4 linked regions of the Cricetulus griseus genome follow. The protein of the gene in region 4 interacts with the protein of the main gene of each other region in a pairwise test. Links are inferred from orthologs where the notes say so. Each region holds a gene or a part of one and is shown on either strand. Other genes may lie near its edges.

The links.
Region 1: the proteins of Krt15 (region 4) and Fam110a interact in a two-hybrid assay, tested with the Homo sapiens proteins (2 studies listed by BioGRID and IntAct). The two-hybrid records come from large-scale screens. The link is inferred for Cricetulus griseus from reciprocal best matches to the Homo sapiens genes KRT15 and FAM110A.
Region 2: the proteins of Krt15 (region 4) and Usp2 interact in binary tests that used the Homo sapiens proteins (3 or more experiments, as listed by UniProt). The two-hybrid records come from large-scale screens. The link is inferred for Cricetulus griseus from reciprocal best matches to the Homo sapiens genes KRT15 and USP2.
Region 3: the proteins of Krt15 (region 4) and Zc2hc1c interact in binary tests that used the Homo sapiens proteins (3 or more experiments, as listed by UniProt). The two-hybrid records come from large-scale screens. The link is inferred for Cricetulus griseus from reciprocal best matches to the Homo sapiens genes KRT15 and ZC2HC1C.

What each region holds. Positions count from the first base shown.
Region 1 is NC_048599.1:28,036,670-28,040,974, reverse strand, and holds the start of Fam110a (protein FAM110A), read right to left. Parts: upstream 2,807-4,305; 5' UTR 2,593-2,806; intron 1-2,592.
Region 2 is NC_048597.1:155,764,875-155,769,036, reverse strand, and holds the start of Usp2 (ubiquitin carboxyl-terminal hydrolase 2), read right to left. Parts: upstream 2,807-4,162; 5' UTR 2,665-2,806; intron 1-2,664. UniProt on the Homo sapiens protein: Hydrolase that deubiquitinates polyubiquitinated target proteins such as MDM2, MDM4 and CCND1. Isoform 1 and isoform 4 possess both ubiquitin-specific peptidase and isopeptidase activities.
Region 3 is NC_048598.1:118,492,743-118,496,887, forward strand, and holds the start of Zc2hc1c (zinc finger C2HC domain-containing protein 1C), read right to left. Parts: upstream 2,807-4,145; 5' UTR 2,696-2,806; exon of another isoform or gene 2,023-2,695; intron 1,945-2,022; 5' UTR 1,926-1,944; coding exon 636-1,925; intron 1-635. Other genes in the region: Acyp1 (acylphosphatase-1), read left to right, coding at 3,126-3,234.
Region 4 is NC_048600.1:112,452,057-112,456,306, reverse strand, and holds the start of Krt15 (keratin, type I cytoskeletal 15), read right to left. Parts: upstream 2,810-4,250; coding exon 2,321-2,809; intron 1,460-2,320; coding exon 1,377-1,459; intron 1,259-1,376; coding exon 1,102-1,258; intron 697-1,101; coding exon 535-696; intron 436-534; coding exon 310-435; intron 152-309; coding exon 1-151.

The DNA.
Region 1 (4,305 bases), on a different chromosome or scaffold from region 4:
CTGACTTCCACATGCCTGTTATGTGGAATATGTGTTCATGGAATAAAAGCAGTAAGCCCCTCACTTCATAGGGTGGAGGTACATCGCAACTCAGAATGGTAAAATACGGAGTACATTGCAAGTGGTCTGAGCCCAAGCAGCTGTGTGTTCACTCTTCCCTTTGCTTCCTTTCTTCCCCGAAGAAGGTGGGTTTCTAGGGTTGACCATTTTTACGACATTTTGCACCACCCCACCTGCTCCTCTGTCCTTTCAAAGGAAACCTGGCTCAGGCTTGGTAGACAGGGAGGCCTTTAGTTGCTGCTGAGGAGGATCAAGAAGGCTCCAGGCAGTGGGGTAGAGCCAGCCCAGCTGTCCAGGTCAGAGACACCCGACTGGGCATTCTCCAGGGCAGGCCAGGTTCCAAGCTATTTCTGGAGTTTTCCCCAGGATCATGCCCCAGCCTGCCTATGAGGCAGCCTTGCTCAGAGTGGCTTTGCACGAACCTCAGGGAGAGGGTTATGAGTGGGTGTGGATGCCTAGGACAGTGAGCGTCTTTACGGACCCCCGCCCCCAATATATGCTCCTCCTCTAATTCAAACTTTGGGGACTCAGTTTGCACCCTGACAAAATGGGAGCAAAGGCAGATTTACAGTGGAAGAGGGAGAAGGAAGGGAAAGGCTGGGAAGGTAAGGCTTGAGTTAGACCTGTGGCCACGCCCATTTCCTGTCCTACAGTACCCTGTCTAGGCCTGAGCTCACATGCAGTGTTTATCCCCAGCTCAGAATGTGAAGAAACTTGCCCAAAGTCACACAGCCAGTGACAAATCACAGGCAGAGCAGTGACCTCATAGCTTTCTGGAGATGTAATCACCATGTCTACTTAGTGGCTTCTGAATTAGCTGTCCCACGGTCGAAACTACAAAGTGTGTCGTGTGTGTCATTTTCACTCAGCGCCTTTGCTGGGTAACCCACGTTCCTCTTGGTGCCACATCAGTACTTAAGGAGTTTCCGGTTATTTCTCATCAGCCCCTACTGGCCACTATGCATCTGTCCAGTTCCCGCTTGCAACAAGCCATGGCCGCAATGTAGCACCTGTCATTTTGCCTAAAAATGAGGTAGCTGGATGGGGTGGGAGGGTGCAGAATGCGTGTGTGTGTGTGTGTGTGTGTGTGTGTGTGTGTGTGTGTGTGTGTAACATCCATGCCTGTGCTTGCCAGAGTCTGCCAGAGCTGACATCACCCTACCCTGCTCCACCCCTGGCACAAAACATAGCAAATGGCCAACAGACGTTGGCTTTGATCATCTTGGTTCTGGAAGTTTCGGGCACCCTGACATTTTGTGACTGTGCTAAGCATCTTACCTGTCTGACACATTCAAGTGGAGAAGACAATAAACTGCCTAGTAAGACACCTAGTGTACAATGTGGAACAGACACTACTGAGAAAAACAAGGCGGCCACAGGAAGCCAAACAATGTAGAAAGAACAAATGAGGCAGGGGGTGTAGGCTCAGGAGGTATATGTTCAGTGGGTGTAACACAGTTGGTAGAGTGCTTGCTTAGCACGCACCAAGCCCTGGGTTTCATCCTAAAAATGACAAAAAAACTGGTGTAGTGGGGACCCATGCTTGTCATCAGAGAAGACAGATTCAGGGGGACGTTCAAGACCAGCCTAGTATACATAGTAAGACTGAAGCCAACTTGGGCCACACAAGACCCTCAGGGTAGGAGGAGATGACACATGGACAGACAGGCAAACACAGACTACCCCCAGAGCCAGAATGAGGAGTGGAGGATGAGCAGTTCCCCACAAAAGAGGCCCTCCATCAAATCCAGTTCTTCTCTGAATAGGTAAGACTGTGACTTTGAGCAATGGGCTCAACTTCTCAGAACCTCAGTTTCCCCATCTATGAAAAGAGATCAACAACAGACAGCAACCTGAGCGGGGAACATAGGCAGCCTAAATTATATGCTCCATTTGGGAGGGCCTACCCAGCACCCAACTCTAAAGTCCAGTGACTAGCAACTCTGGCTTAGAGGCTGATCCACCCGCCTCCAACACACAAAGTACACACACACCAAAGTACACACACACACACACACACACACACACACACACACACACACACACACACTACACACCACACACAGGAACAGACTCCCAAGAGGCCCACATGACTTCCAGGGCATTTGGATTTTCTGTCCTCCGGAATCTAGCCTGCCCCCCAGGGAGGCCCTCTGAGAGGGCAGCACTGGGATTCCGGACCATTCAGGCAGAAAAGTTGCCAGAGTCCCTGAGGAACGGAAGGCCATATGTCCTGAAGGGAAACTCCAAAGACAGTTGGGGTAGAGGTAGCCTAGCCCTGAGATCCCATAAGCCACATTCAACAAGCCCCTGAGAGTGACCAGCAGGGGCCCTCTGAACCTCTCAAAGAAAATCTGCCTGGAGTGGAGGCTGCAGGGTGGGACAGGGGAACAGCCGGATCCTCCGCTGGCCCCCTGGGCTGGACACTAGATAGACGTGGACCCTCGGTCAGCCCTCTGTGCTGGCACACTCGCCTCGAATGGTGCGTGGACCTACCCCAGACCCTGTGAGCCCCCTTACCCCCATGCTCACCTGCCGCCTGTGTCTGGAGGGTCCCCCGCGCTTCTCGCGAGCTGCCGAGGCTGACAGCTGGAGCGCTTGGTCCCAGAGCTCTGAGGCGGCCGTCGCGTGTTGAGACAGGCGGGCTCTTCCGAGAGGCAGGCCTTGGCTGTCCTACCGTCCTGCCGGACGAAGGTCCCCAGAGCCCGGAGGAAAGGGAAGTGAGCGAGCGGTCCCCGTCGCTGCAATGGTTCGCCCCGGACTTCCTGATTGGCCCTTCGCTTCCGTTCGAACGGCGCGCCACCCGAGTTGCCAGGCAACCTCAGGAGCAGCAGATGGGAGCGGGGCTGGCCCACGGTGGCCGCCAGGAGCCCAGCTGGCCGCGCGGCCTTCCGGCTGCCCCGGCCCTGCCGGCCAATGCGTTCCCTTTCTTCTTCTTCTCGTCCAGCTGGGATTCCCTCGGTCCCCACCTGCAGGAGTTGCTAGTCCCAGATTTGTTTGGTTTTGCACCGGCCCTAGTCCCATTTTTTTTTTTTTCTTTTTTAGGAAGGGCCTTGACATATAGCTAGCACATACTGGCCTCTCTTCACTTTTTTCTTTTGAGACAGGGTCTCACTAAGTTGCCCAAGCTGACCTTAAATTCACGCTGTGGTCCAAGTAGCCCTCAAACTTGTTATCTGCCTGCCTCAGCGTACCGACGAGTTGGTATTACTTGCCCAGCAGCCAACCTAGGTCCTGCTCCCAACTCTGCAGCTTCCTCTCTGTGTTTTCCAGGATCCCCTCTCCCTCTCCATTACCCTACTGCAATGGTAATTCAGTTAGTTTTCAAACGTGCACACCAGTAATTCCCACAATGCTTATCAAAATCAGGCCAATAGCCGGGCGTTGGTGGCGCACGCCTTTAATCCCAACACTCGGGAGGCAGAGGCAGGAGGATCTCTGTGAGTTCAAGACCAGCCTGGTCTACAAGAGCTAGTTCCAGAACAACCTCCAAAGCCACAGAGAAACCCTGTCTCGAAAAAACCAAAACAGAAAAAAAAAAAAAAATCAGGCCAATTACAGTATATAATATCCATCCTGGGAAGAAGCTAAATTGATCTTTCTACATAAATCTTATCAATACCTACCTTCAACTATCTACATTTTTCTGGTTAGGAATATTATGCAGTAACTTAAAATGATGCAATTAAATAGCATTTTAAAATAATGGAGGAATGCTAGGAAGTGTTGCCGGATTTTTAAATTTTATTTATTTTTAATTTTATATGCATTGATGTTTTGCCTGCATGTATGTCTATATAACTGTTGGATCCCCTGGAACTAGAGTTACAGACAGTTATGAGCTGCCATGTGGGTGCTAGGAACTGAACCTAGGTCCTCTGGAAGAGCAGCCAGTGCTCTCAAACACTAAGCCATCTCTGCAGCCCCATAGTGTTATGTTTTAAGCATGTTTCAAAGCACTCCTTACAGCATGAATAGGTAGTAAATACATAACCATATTATTCATACAAAAAGCATCTCCTATTTACAAAACAGCAGCTAACTCTTTTGCATTTAAATATGCTTCCATTCACTCTTTGAGAATGTCATACATACATACATACATACATACATACAATGTATTTTGATCATATTTGCTCCACTTTCCCCCCCAACTCCTCCTACATCCATCCTCATTCTCTCCTTCCTTTCCTTTTGTTTTTTATAACCCACCAAGTCCAATCTGCTGCCCAACTATTCATGGGT
Region 2 (4,162 bases), on a different chromosome or scaffold from region 4:
AAGAGATGACAATAGCCACCCTGACTTGTGGAGAAGAAGTGGGTAGGCCCAGGGGTTGGGAAGGGTGGTTATCTCTGTAAGTCCAAAAAAAGGCAAAGAAACAGGCTTCCTGGAAGCAGAGATACCTTTCAATTCTCTTTCTTATCCTCCTATGCTCAGGTACCCTCCCAGTGCCCCCTTCTTTGGACAGAATCCTATCTCTTTCCCATTAGGGCATCAGCTGTCCTCTGTTCTCTATCTTGAGCATTCAGGCTTGGTTACTGCGATCACCAGGCCAGTGGGTGGCGTCTATCATGCTCCTCCAAACTCACTCAGGGCTTACTTGGGTCACTCGGTTGCCCTTGAAACTCAGAGACCAAAGAGAGAGCTACTGACCTGTGTCCAGGAGCACTGGATGGGAGCTGGGGGTTTCTTTCCCAGCAGTGATGGGACCGCAGTGTAGAGTCCAGAAGCTGGAGTCTAACTGGGGCTGGGTAATCCGGAGCTCAGGTTACTAGCTAGATATATATAGTATCTTATCTGACCTCGAAGAGATGGCAACTCACTTGCATTCCAAGCCCCAGGAGAATTAAAGGGGCAGTGACATGCCCACCTTCCACCTGATGCCCAGTGGCCGGGTGATAGCTGAGGAGAACCAGCTAGAATCCTGGGAGGGGATATTTGGAACTAAAACAGGAAGGATCAAGAGGGAATAGAGCAGAGGGCTGGGGCTGAATTGGAGTCCCAAACATGGAGAAGGTGGATTCTCTAGAGCTGTCAGTCACAGACTGAGTGAACAGGAACAGGCCAAACTGCGAGTCCAGTTGCAAGGGATTCTGAGATGGGGAGGACCTGCTCCAGGACACATGGGCAGAGATGTGCTTGGGATCAGCATTCAAGTTTCAGTCCACTATTTTTTTTTTTTTTTTTTAATTGTGGACCTCTAGGTCTGGGCCTGAATTCCCATCCTTCCCCTTATTGGATCTAAGGTAGGCTCTCTGAATCTTAGCTATGTAATTTGTAAAACCCGAACAATAGAACTAGGGCTGGTGGCACACAGGCCTTTAATCCCAATGGGAGGCAGAGGCAGGAAGATCTATGAATTTAAGGACCACCAGTCTACAAAGCAGAAAGCCAGGGATACCCAGAAAAACCCTGTCTTGAAAAAACCAAAAACAAACAAAAACCCAAATGAATGCACCAACAAACAAACGAAAAAAACTACGAATAACAACAATAGTGATTATGGTATGCCTCACAGTGATGAGGACAAAAATCATAGTTTTAAGCTTCCTTGAACATAGCAAGAGTTCAATAAATGGCAATCTTATTGATTATTTCCATTTCTTATCTAATTACTTACTACTAATGTTAGCAGTAGCAGGCAACCTTTCCTAGAAGGTGACCCTTCCTAGAAGAAAAAGGCCTCAGGGCACCCCCTCGGGGAATTGCTCTGATGCCAGAGACCAGTCCTGTGGTTTTCTGAACTAGCCCAGTCCCCAAAATGGAAAGGGTAGACGAATCTTGCCACCTTCCCAAGGCGATAGGCCAAGCCTACTTGGGCTTCTTTCCCCTTTGCTCAGAAAAAAATATCAAGTGCGGTTTCCCTGGGCTGCCAGGAAAATGCCTAGCTCCAGAGGGGCAGTCCCAGTCTACCTGTTGGAGGACTCAGGGTTCCAGGGCGGCAAAGGCAGGCTGGACAGGGATTACTAGAGGAGGGACTCTCTGGTCTTGGTGCACCTGTCTGCTCCCAAGACGATTCTTCTGTTTCTTGATGGCTCTCCCTGAAGACTGGAAGGCCCCAGGGCTGGTGCCTCCACCCTGTCTCAGCACGGGGTACTGACTCAGACTGGGTCCTGACTATGCACTCCAGAGGACGCCCTCATTCCAGTCCTCATTCCAGAGTGGCTTGCACCTACAGCATCAAAGAGTAGGGGACACCCTCTATTCTAGCCCACCTACTAGTTCTCCATGCCTCTTGTTTTGTAGGCGGATTGATGTGTGTGCTTTTCCTTACATTTGGAGAGATAAGCAGCCCCTACTGAGATCTTCATTGCAACCTCATTCTCAAAAGCACTGGGGGTCAAGAGCTAAGAGTTCTCCCTTCTCTGAAGAGCTAGAAGGGCTTGGCCAGGACTCCGCTTGGCAAGCTGCTTGTCTGGGAACACTGCATGGCTGCTTTTGCTTTGGGATTGGTGAGAATTTTAAAGTTGCCTCTTTCTGATTTGGGATTGGTGGAAAATTTCCCTTCCGTTTAACTGCTGGCTTCCCCCTGAGCCCCCTTCCCCCGCTTTGGAAAACTGACCAGAGACAGCCCCAGGAGGTTTGACATCAGGGAGGGAGGTAGCTGCACGCACACGTGGGGAGAGGGGGGTGTCAGGGTCCAGGCGTCATTCTCAGGCTACACACCACACCGGGCACGGGGACCTGTACCCGCGGTAACTGTTTCCTCAGAACACATTGATCAGCACACAGATGGCTCTTCCTGGCACCCCGAGCTGTCAGCTGTCAGTCCCTCTCACACACTGGCACCCACAGCTGGAGTTCCCCCGCACAGTTGGCCCTCGCCCTACATTTCTCATGTCCAGACTGCCCAGGCTGTCGTTGACACCCTACTTTCCGAACCTCCAAGCTGGCACCGACCCCGGCTTTCCCCTTCCCCGATCTGCGACAGGTGGCACGTACCTGCCTCTTCTCGGAGGATGGACGAGTCGAACCCGGCACAAGCATGGAGCTGCGGATGAGTCCTGGCTGGTACTGGCGCGGCGCAGCGAGCTGTGGCTGACGCAGAGGGCTCCCTGGCCTCGCTCGGTGCTTGCCCGCCTCTCCCCCACCTCCGCCGGGGGCCCAGAAAGGACCTCCCCGGGAAATCGGCGCCACCCAGCGGGCAGCCGCCTCATTGCGCCCGGGCCGGGAAAGCCACACCCCGAGTTCGCATCACTGATATACGTCATGGCTATTGGCTTGTTCCTATTGTGGCGTCAATGGGGCCCCGCCCTGCGTGAATCTCCCAGGCAACCACTATATACAGAGAACCACGTGCAGCAAAAGCACGCCTGTTTGGAGCCGGTGGCGCAAGGAAAGAAGTGGACTGGAATGTAACAGGTCCGGGCGGTTGGAAGGACTGAGACAGACGGTCACGTCACGGGAGAAGGCGGCATATCAGCTTTCAGCTTTTAGGGAAGGCTTAATGTTCCTCCACGCTTTCCTACCGGGCCGGGAATGATCTATTCTACAGGCTCTTTTCTTTATGCCTACCCTTTCATTTTATTTATTTATATTTAAAAATGCATTTATTTAAACGAACAATCAAGTACATGTCATAACAATATTTACGGAGCCCAATCGATCAGATAAATAATAAAAATCCTAGCAGATAAATCAATAATAACAACAATAATAAACAGATAAGGAAGATTATGTCTGTTCGACATGATACTATCACATTTCCATTCAAACAACTCATCCTATGGGCTACTTATTTAGTGCATTACTTATTAGACACTGTGACGAGTATTTTGCATGCATTAGTTTTCTCACTTAATCTTTTTAGTGGTCCTGTAAAATGAGAACCACTATTATAGCCATCTGCTGCACGATGTAGCTGAAGCCTAGGGAGAACACATACAGATAGGTAGTAAATTCCAGCACAGTATGGTGGTTCATTTGGTGACTTGCCCCAATAAAGGATAAATATTTTATGCTATTAGCATTAGAATAAAAAGAGAGGCAACTTGTATTTTAATCTTAAGTAAACCTGACTTCTAAAAGTTATTTATTTATTGATTAGTTGGATAATATCCTTAAGGAATCAGTCACTCTTAAAGGCACCCTGCTCTTTTTATTTGTGTAGGGCTAGTGGTGAATGATGACTGGAGTTGGTAACCACGTCAATGGGAAGAATTCTCTGAACTCTTCAGAAAAAGCAGAAGTTGGCCATAAGGATGTCTAGTGGATAAAAGCACTTGCCACCAAGCCTGACAACCTCAGTTTGCTTTCCAGAATTCATGAGGTGGAAGGAGAGAACCAACTCATGTGGGTTTGTTCTCTGACTGCTACATGTGCACGTACAAACAAACACATGTAAAAACAAAAGTGAAATGCTAACTCTGCTGGGCTTCCTCTTAAAGAAAAAGCCAAGGCAAATCTTGAATTTTTCCCCCCTCTTGATTTTTTAAAAAGA
Region 3 (4,145 bases), on a different chromosome or scaffold from region 4:
TTTTAACATAAAATGCAAGTTTTAAAATTTCATTTTATGTCTTGTTTTTTTTTTTTTTTCCTGCAGCAAACATGAATTCGTTTTACAATAATCAAAAGGATATATTTTAAAGTCCAGATTTTGGTGTCAATTTTAGTAAGATTTAAATATTGACCCCCCCACCTCATAAAGGTGTGAAGAGAGTAACTAACTCAAGAGCGGGGGGTGGGGGGATAGGAGGGGAGACGGGGCGGGGGGGGACGGGGACGGGACTACTGATCAGCAATAGACTGGTTATCTGGCACCTACAGGTCCCTGAGGACAACACAATAGATAGAACCATTCAAGCTTTGTGTGTGTGTGTGTGGGGGGGGGTCTGGTGTGTGTGTGGATGGGTCTGGTATGTGTTGAGTGTGCATATGTGTTTAGGGGATGTCCGAGCCTTGAGTTTTGAAAGGATACAATGAGAGGCGGTAAGATTCTCACGGAATTGTGAAGCGCCTACGAAAAGCTCTGATCACAGAGACTAGCAAACAGAAGTTGTGATTCTCCCCTCCACCCTACATGATCCCAGTTCCCCATTGGAAACCGGTGAGGACACAGCGGGCCATCACACGCACCCCCATACCAAGTCAGATCCAGGAGGCTTTTATTACCTTGGCTGTGGCTGGCCCCTTCCAGTTCAAGAACTGCTCTAGTTCTGTGCCTTTAGCCCGGGCCCTGGAGGAGTCAAACACTTTCCTCCTGGACCCTTGCATCTTGCCACAGACGGCAGAGTGTCTCTGCAGCCTGAGCCAAAGAAACGTGCGTCCACAGTAGCTGCACTTGCCCAGCTCTGGCTCTTCTGTGGAGGAGCTGGACTCCGAGGAGGCCGGCGTTCCCGACAGGCTTGATGCCTGCGGTGTGCTACCCAGCTCTTCTGAAGGTTTCGAGAACTCTTCTGCCGGTGTCGCTGAGTCTCGCACCTTGCGGTTGCTGGCCATCAGCCTTTCCCTTTTGAGCCTCTGGATTTCATAGTCAGAGAACTGGAGTGGACTGGAGTCTTCCTGAGCCCGTTCACAAGGTTGAGCCTCTCTCCTGTTTCTACTGAGCATCTCAGAACTGAACTCGGGGGATAAGGCGGCATTGCAGCCACTTTCTCTAACTCTCCCGGCAGGCATCATCCTTGGTAGCTCTCTGTCTTCATTTTGCTGGGCCTGTTTCTTTTCCTTCTGGATCCTTCGGAGACCCTCCTCTGTCTTCTTCAGCTTCTCTCTCAGGAGGGTCTCCTTCCTTCGGATTTCCCTCTGTAAAGTCTCCCCTGCAGCTTCTAGTCTTTGGATCTGCGTCCACTCGGGCCTGGTCCTGTGGAGGTCTGCCATGACCTCCTCTGCCTGCACAGAGGCAAGAATAGATGAATTCACCCAGCTCCTCAAACCAAAGTTGCTGTCTGAAAACTCAGGAAGTCTTGGGTAGACATTCTGGTCTCCATCACCAGTGCCTGCCTCGCCTGTACTGAGAGACTTCCGGTGGACCATGGGTTTCAGTGGGTATGCCCGGTCCACGCCAATTCGCTTCTTCCTAAAGGGAATGAAGTCCTGGTCGTTTGCTTTGTGATACCGGGGCGGAGGGCTTGACAAGGAAGACAAAGCCTTTCCTTGGCCCTGGGGATTGCTCCCTGGGCTTCGCTGGCTGATCCTGGCACTGTGGGGGCAGGAGTGCCTCCGGGCTTTGGCGCAGATGTTCCTTTGGGGGTAAGTGGAGACACCCTCCTCCTGCTCCAGTTCTGTGTTGCTCCAATGCTTCTGCTGGAAATTGTTCCTCAAGTGTCCCACCGAGGACCGCTGGGAAGAGTCACGTTGTTCGTAAGGGTCGTGCTTAGCTGAGTGGAGCCCTGGCGCTTCTGTTTTACTATGTGGGAACATAACGCCCACAGGCAGATGTGGAGCCAACTGGAGGCCAGCCATTCAGGGCCTGGACCGATGCCTAGGGGAGATTTAAAACAGATACATGTGAAGAATTTGTCTGAGGTTCACTCCCAGCTGCTAGAGTAAACCTACCTACCCACGTTCCCTTTAAACATTTCTCGTTTCCTGGGACTGTGGCGCTCGATCGGCCTGGACCTTGCTTCAGTACGCACTCAGTGAGTGAGGGTTCTGTGCCAGACATTGCTGAGGCCCAGGACCAAAACATGAACGGGACACAGGTGTTCAGCCACTGGCTTTCTGCCACACCCGTATCTGATCTGCCATACACTATTATGGAATGGGTGGAAATGGCCTTAGATTGAAGGTCATCTGTAACAAAACAAAACAAAACAAAAAAAGCAGGCAGCCTGTTCCTTACTAGCCCCGGTTCTCGCAAACTGCAGAGTCCGCTCTGAGTCCAGGCCCACATTTTTACAGGGTGAGGGAGAGCCTTGGCCCCGCGAGGGAAAGCTCTCCCTGGGCTCTCCCCTGCTGGGGCCGCCCGGGCTGGAAGCGGGTGCTCAGCTGTCAAACACTCATCCCCAAATGTCCGATGGCACAAACCGCACCGGGTACCAGGGTGTTGGGCCAGGGGGTGGACACCTGATCGCCCCAGCGCGCTTTAGATCCGGATCTCGGAAGTCACGTTCAGTCCCAGGGGGTCAAACCGTAACTCTCCTTGGGACACAGCCTCTAGAGATAAACTCTCACTCTTCAGTCCCTTGGGAGGTCGTGGTATCCATTCGGTGTCTCCCCTCCTTTTCGCGTACCTGAGGCGCTCGGGGGCCGCTCCTGCTTAGGGAAAAATCTCCAAGACCTAGTTTTCCACACCTGACTTCACCCAACCGCTGTCCGCGCAGGCGCTCTCTGTCCACCTCGGTATCCCCGTTGCCTGGAGACCAGAGCGCCACCTCTGGTTGCGACCTTCCAGCCCCCGGACGTGCGCAGGCGCAGTCCACAAGCGGTCCGGAGCTGCCCGGGCGGGTTTGGGATGCAGAAAGGTGGGGTGTGGGTGCAGAAGGGTCACCTGACACAGAATGCAGCCAACTCTGCAGCTCAGATCAGCGCTGCCCTTGGGGAGAGGAGCAAGGGTAGGAGAGGCTTTTCTGGAGCTACATCAAAGAAGAACTTGCATCTCTCTGAGATGATGCTCCCAGACCTTAGGGTGTGCCCGTGTCTGGAGAAGGGTGGGGCCCCTAGATGGGCTGCGGAGTCAACCGGCCACAGGATTGGGGGTTCGCCTGGCTAGCGGGAGTGGGACTGCTGATCGCTCTTCTGAGCGCATTTGGCTGCTGCGCCCAGGCCCCAGGTAGGGCTACAAAGCTTCAGGCTACATGCTCCTGGGCTGTCTTCCCTCTCAATGCTTTGGCACTTGCTTTAGATTTACTATTCTTTCGTTATCGTTCCAGAGTAGTTTCTAAGGCCAATCTAATCATTTTGCTCTTTTAACGTTTTACTCTCACGTGGCAAATCTGACCGTTTCTACTTAGGGCCCAGGAATGACTCAGCCAAATGTAATGATAATAAAGTTAACTACCAGATCGACAATAATGAGCATAACTTGATTTCAACATTAAATGATCCCTCCAACTTTTTGACATCAGAAGACAGTTTATTTGTCTTCTTCGTGCTTCAGTTCATTTGGATAAGCTTTTTGGAACAGACAGCTCCGGTTTTTTTTTCCTGTAACTAAGCAGAAGATCCGTGCACGTGGGAAATAAAGTGGACAGCAGTCTCGTTAATACTTCAGCATATCAGATGTCAGCTTTTATGCGCTACAAAGAAATTCCTTGGTGGGCTCTCTAGGGCAGATTGTCAGTCATTGTTTTCGTTCCCAGTTCTCTTTTGCCTCTCCACATTTGCAGACTTTTCCCACTGACTCGGTCCCGGTAAATCTCAGCTTCCCCGGCTTCAGTCTTCTACTGTGGTTTTCTCCTGTGCGACCTTTTTAACTAATTTCAATACTCTTCATCTTAATCTCTGTTTTTAAAATACGCATAACTTCCTCATGCAAAACAAGTTTCACTTCTCTGAACCTGTCTCCTCTATGTTAGGATCCCACTTGTTTCTCCTGTTTTCTTTTGTTAGCTGCTTATTTCCAGACAGGCTCCCTATTTAGCCCGCTGTTAGCACTGTTTAGCCCTCCTGCCTGTTTAATCCTCTTGCCTTAGATTCCCCCAGGCTAGAATATAGGCCTGCACACACACACACTCACAGAGA
Region 4 (4,250 bases):
GCAGCATGTTATATTCCTGGTTCTGAGCTTCCATCTCACAGCGGAGCTCGCTCAGCTGGCTCTCCAGGCTGCTAATAAGCCCCTGGATCTGCTGCAGCTGTGTGGCATAGCGGCACTCCACCTCTGCCAGAGAGTTCTCCAGCCCGGCTTTCTGGTGGGGTGACAGATGCATAAACCCATTGGGCTAGAAGGCAACCCACTGGAGGGAGAAGAGCAGGAAGGGTGGTAAGGACTGCCTGAGGTGACAGGAATGTGTGAGGTGAGGCTTTACTGGCCATGTGTCACCCAGTAGGGAGAGAGTGACCGTACCATGCTGAGCTGGGACTGCAGCTCGATCTCCAGCCCCTGCATGGTGCGCCTCAGGTCTGTGATCTCCGTCTTGCTGGACTGGATCATTTCTGTGTTGGAAGCTACCTCCTTGTTCAGCTCTTCCGTCTGCAAGTCACACATGAGAAACATGAGCCTCATGGGCCTCCTCAGAGGCCTCTGGAGTGGGAAGGAGGGAGAGAGCAGAGCTGGGGGTGTCAGGCCCACCTTACTGAAGAACCAGGCCTCTGCATCCCGACGGTTTTTCTCCGCAATGGCCTCATATTGTTCCCTCATCTCGGCCAGCATGCGGGTCAAGTCCACCCCAGGTGCAGCGTCCATCTCCACATTGACCTGGCCCGCCAGCTGACTGCTGAACTCTTTCATCTCCTGCAAGGGGTGGGAGTGACAACCATTTAGAGACAAGGCTATAAAGCAGACAAAGAATCGAGAGTCCTGAGGGCTAACTCTGACTGTCTCTAACTCACAATGTGACCTTAGCACATCACACCACCCTATCTCTATTCCCCATTGGAACACATGGACCCCTCAGTTCTGAGGATCTCTCTTGCTCTGGGTCCTAAGAAACAAGGACCTTGAGATAATAAGCCCATGAAGCAAACCAATTCTGCAGTTCACACATGGCTTGGCCTTGGGTCCAGATTACCAGAGATTAGTGCCCCTTCTCTTCCATGGGGCCCCCCAGGTACATTTCTTAATCCCCAAGCCCTCAGAGGACTGTGACAAAAGACTGGCTGTCCTGGGCTTCTTCCTACCACCCTGTCTTGCTGTTACCTCCTCGTGATTCTTCTTCAGGTAGGCCAGCTCCTCATTCAAGTGCTCAATCTGCATCTCCAGGTCGGTCCTGGCCAGGGTCAGCTCGTCTAGCACCCTGCGCAGCCCGTTGATGTCGGCCTCCACACTCTGGCGCAGGGCCAGCTCGTTCTCATACCTGGGGAGGGGAGAGGAGCCAAAGTCAGGAAAGGTGAGGGGCCCAGGTTCTGAGTCATAGAGGAGGAAGGCTAGGTAGAGGGGGTGAAATGGACAGGGGTGGAGAAATGGGAACACACTTGAGCCTGAAGTCATCCGCTGCCAGCCTGGCATTGTCAATCTCCAAGATGACACGCGAGTTGTCAATGGTGGCCGCCAGTATCTGCAGGAGACAGAGTTGTACCTTAGGGCTGCTGCACGACCCCCTTCGCCAACTACTGCCCAGCTTCTCTTCCTGTGTGCATCAGTTGTGCTGGCCCATGCTCCCTTCCCTGTGGCATCTTCAAGGAATGGAAAACTAACGAGGCAGTATTGCCTGGGATTGCCTGGGGGCATGGCTAGTCAAGACCGTGCTGCAATGGATACAGTTGGCTCTGTCAGGTCAGGACTCTCGGGAGACACACTATACCAGCCTACTTGGGCACAGCTCACAGTGGCTGCCTCCTGCGTGCCTTGACAGAGCCCTTCATCTCCAAAACATTGCAGTCATTGGGAACTTGGACAGCAGCTAAGGAACGTGTTTGCCACTAAGGAAAACAGATCCAGTTAGTTAAAAGGGAAAGTGAGGGGGTGGCACAGCCTCCACTGAGTTCCCTGGTCTCCTAAGATCTAGCAATGATCAACAATAAAGACATCCTTGAGGCCTGAAGTAAACAGCCCTGGCATTTAGGACTCTTGAGGTTGTGCCTGAACAGCACACGGGTCACAAAGTTAAAGCAATCAGTTGCAAAAATCCCTGAAAGTTTTTGTGAGGCAGGGAGAAGGAGCTGCTCTCTTTTGTTGCCCTCATTTGCAATCCTGTGTATCCAAATCAGATTCCCAAGACCACTCCCTCCCCTCCCCCAGCACTGCCAAGTGGAACACGTGTGTTCCCACATGTGCCTGGGAAGCAGGTGCATCCCAGCCTTGCCAGGTTACACAGCAGGGAAGGACTCTCTTAGTCAACAGCAATGTTGCTGTTGCATATGTGTACAGGGCACCTACTGCCTGTTTCCCTCTGTCTGACATATATATGAGGACTTACTTTGTCCCGGATCTCTTCCATGGTCTTAAAGTAATGGCTGTAGTCTCGCTCCGGACTGGCTGGGCTCTGCTTCTGGTACCAGTCTCGGATTTTCACCTCCAGCTCCGTGTTAGCCTGCTCCAGGGCACGTACTTTGTCCAGGTAGGAGGCCAGGCGGTCATTGAGGTTCTGCATGGTGATCTTCTCATTGCCAGAGAGGAGACCTCCATCGCCACCACCAAAGTCACCAAAGCCACCACCAAAACCCCCACCAAAGGCTCCACCAAAACCGCTACCAGCACCACCACCAAAACCACAACTCATACCGCCCCCATATCCCCCTCCTGCCCCCGAGGAGACGAACCTAGCAGAAGAAGCAGAGATGCTTCGGCTCCCACCTCCCCCGTAGAGACTCCCTCCACCAAAGCCGCCTCCACCAGCACGGAGGGAACCCCCTCGGGTAGAGCCACCTCCAAAGGTGGAAGAAGTTTGCAAGAATGTGGTGGCCATGGTCAGGCAGCCTGAGCCTTCGTGTCCTTTTCAAGCAGGAGGGACTCTAGCAGGAGCTTCTGAGCTGGGCTGAAACCAGGCTGCAGTGCTGTCGCCCCTAGCCTGGGATTCCTTATATACTGTTTCAAGGGGGTGGGGGCCTTGCCTCCTCCCCCTGAGTGGAGCCAACTCCTCTGCCTTCCAGACAAATACAGCTGCCTGCACACCTCCACAGGGCTCGCTTGTGGTGAGTTTTTCTTTTCTTTTTTTTTTTTCTTAATGCAACAAGAGAGATGATTCAGAATTAATGGGGTTTTGCTCTAGGCCATGGTTTTAACACTTGGATTACAGGTTCATTTCTCACTCCAGGAAGGAGAAGAGAGCCACAAGAGCAAACCCTCAGCATAGCACCCAAGTTCCCTCATGTCCCATCCCGTTAGAGCAGCCAGGCCAGCTCTGCCTCCCACCCCAGCCCACTGCTGGCATGTGAGCCTCACCCCAGGTAGAAAGCTTCCTGCTTTCAGTTTCTCCCACCACTGCTCTGTACTACCTACTCAAACGCCCTATACATAGCCTTCGGGACATGGAAGTCCCCGGGAATGAGAACACAGGTGACCACAGTGCAGGCTAATAGGGTCTCAAGTCAACTTCCAAACGAGTTGACCAAAAAAGCCGGTGCCTGTCCCTCTCTCCCATCCCTGATACCTGGGCATGCTCTCTCCTCTCACAGCCCTCCCACCACCCCAATTCCAGAAGTCCCTCCTACCTCTTCAGTTCCCCCCCCAGCCCAGGGTCCTGGCTAGTTCACAAAAGCCCAGAAGGCTCAGGCTGACAGGAGTCTGATTGATGGTCCTGTCACCAGCCAACTGCACATGTCACTGAACCTCTGCTTGCTCCCAAGACGCGTTGGGGCAAACCTCTGCAGATAAGACCCAGGCGAGTTCCAGAAAGTCCCCCGCCTTCTTCAGCAAGAGACATGTCGCTGCTTAGCAGGGGCCAGATTAACCCCCATTTGCCTTGTCAGCTGCTGCCAGCTGGGGAGGGGCTGAGCTAGAGGCTCTGCTCTGCGTGCCTAAGTACAGGGAGGAAGGCGGAGGCAGGAAGGGGGGCTGGCAAGCAGGTGGAACACATCAGAGCTCAGAGGCCAAGGAATCAGTCACTGCAATACTGAGGCCAAAAAGGACAGGGTCTTCTGCCACCAGCTCTAACAGCCCTATTTCTCTAAGACAATGGCACTGTGGGCAGTGCCACCCAGACTGGAGAGAATCCACAGGAGGGCTTCTAATGGAGAGCTACAATACGAGAAAGTGAATAGGGCTCCAGCGTTCCTTGGGCCTGTGTTTAAACCCCATTTCTATGAATGACTCCTGTGAAGATCTGTACTCGTCAGTTTTCAAGGCTCAGCCTCTTTGTGTATAGGACACTCACTTTATGGGACATGCTGAGACTCAAGATTCCCATT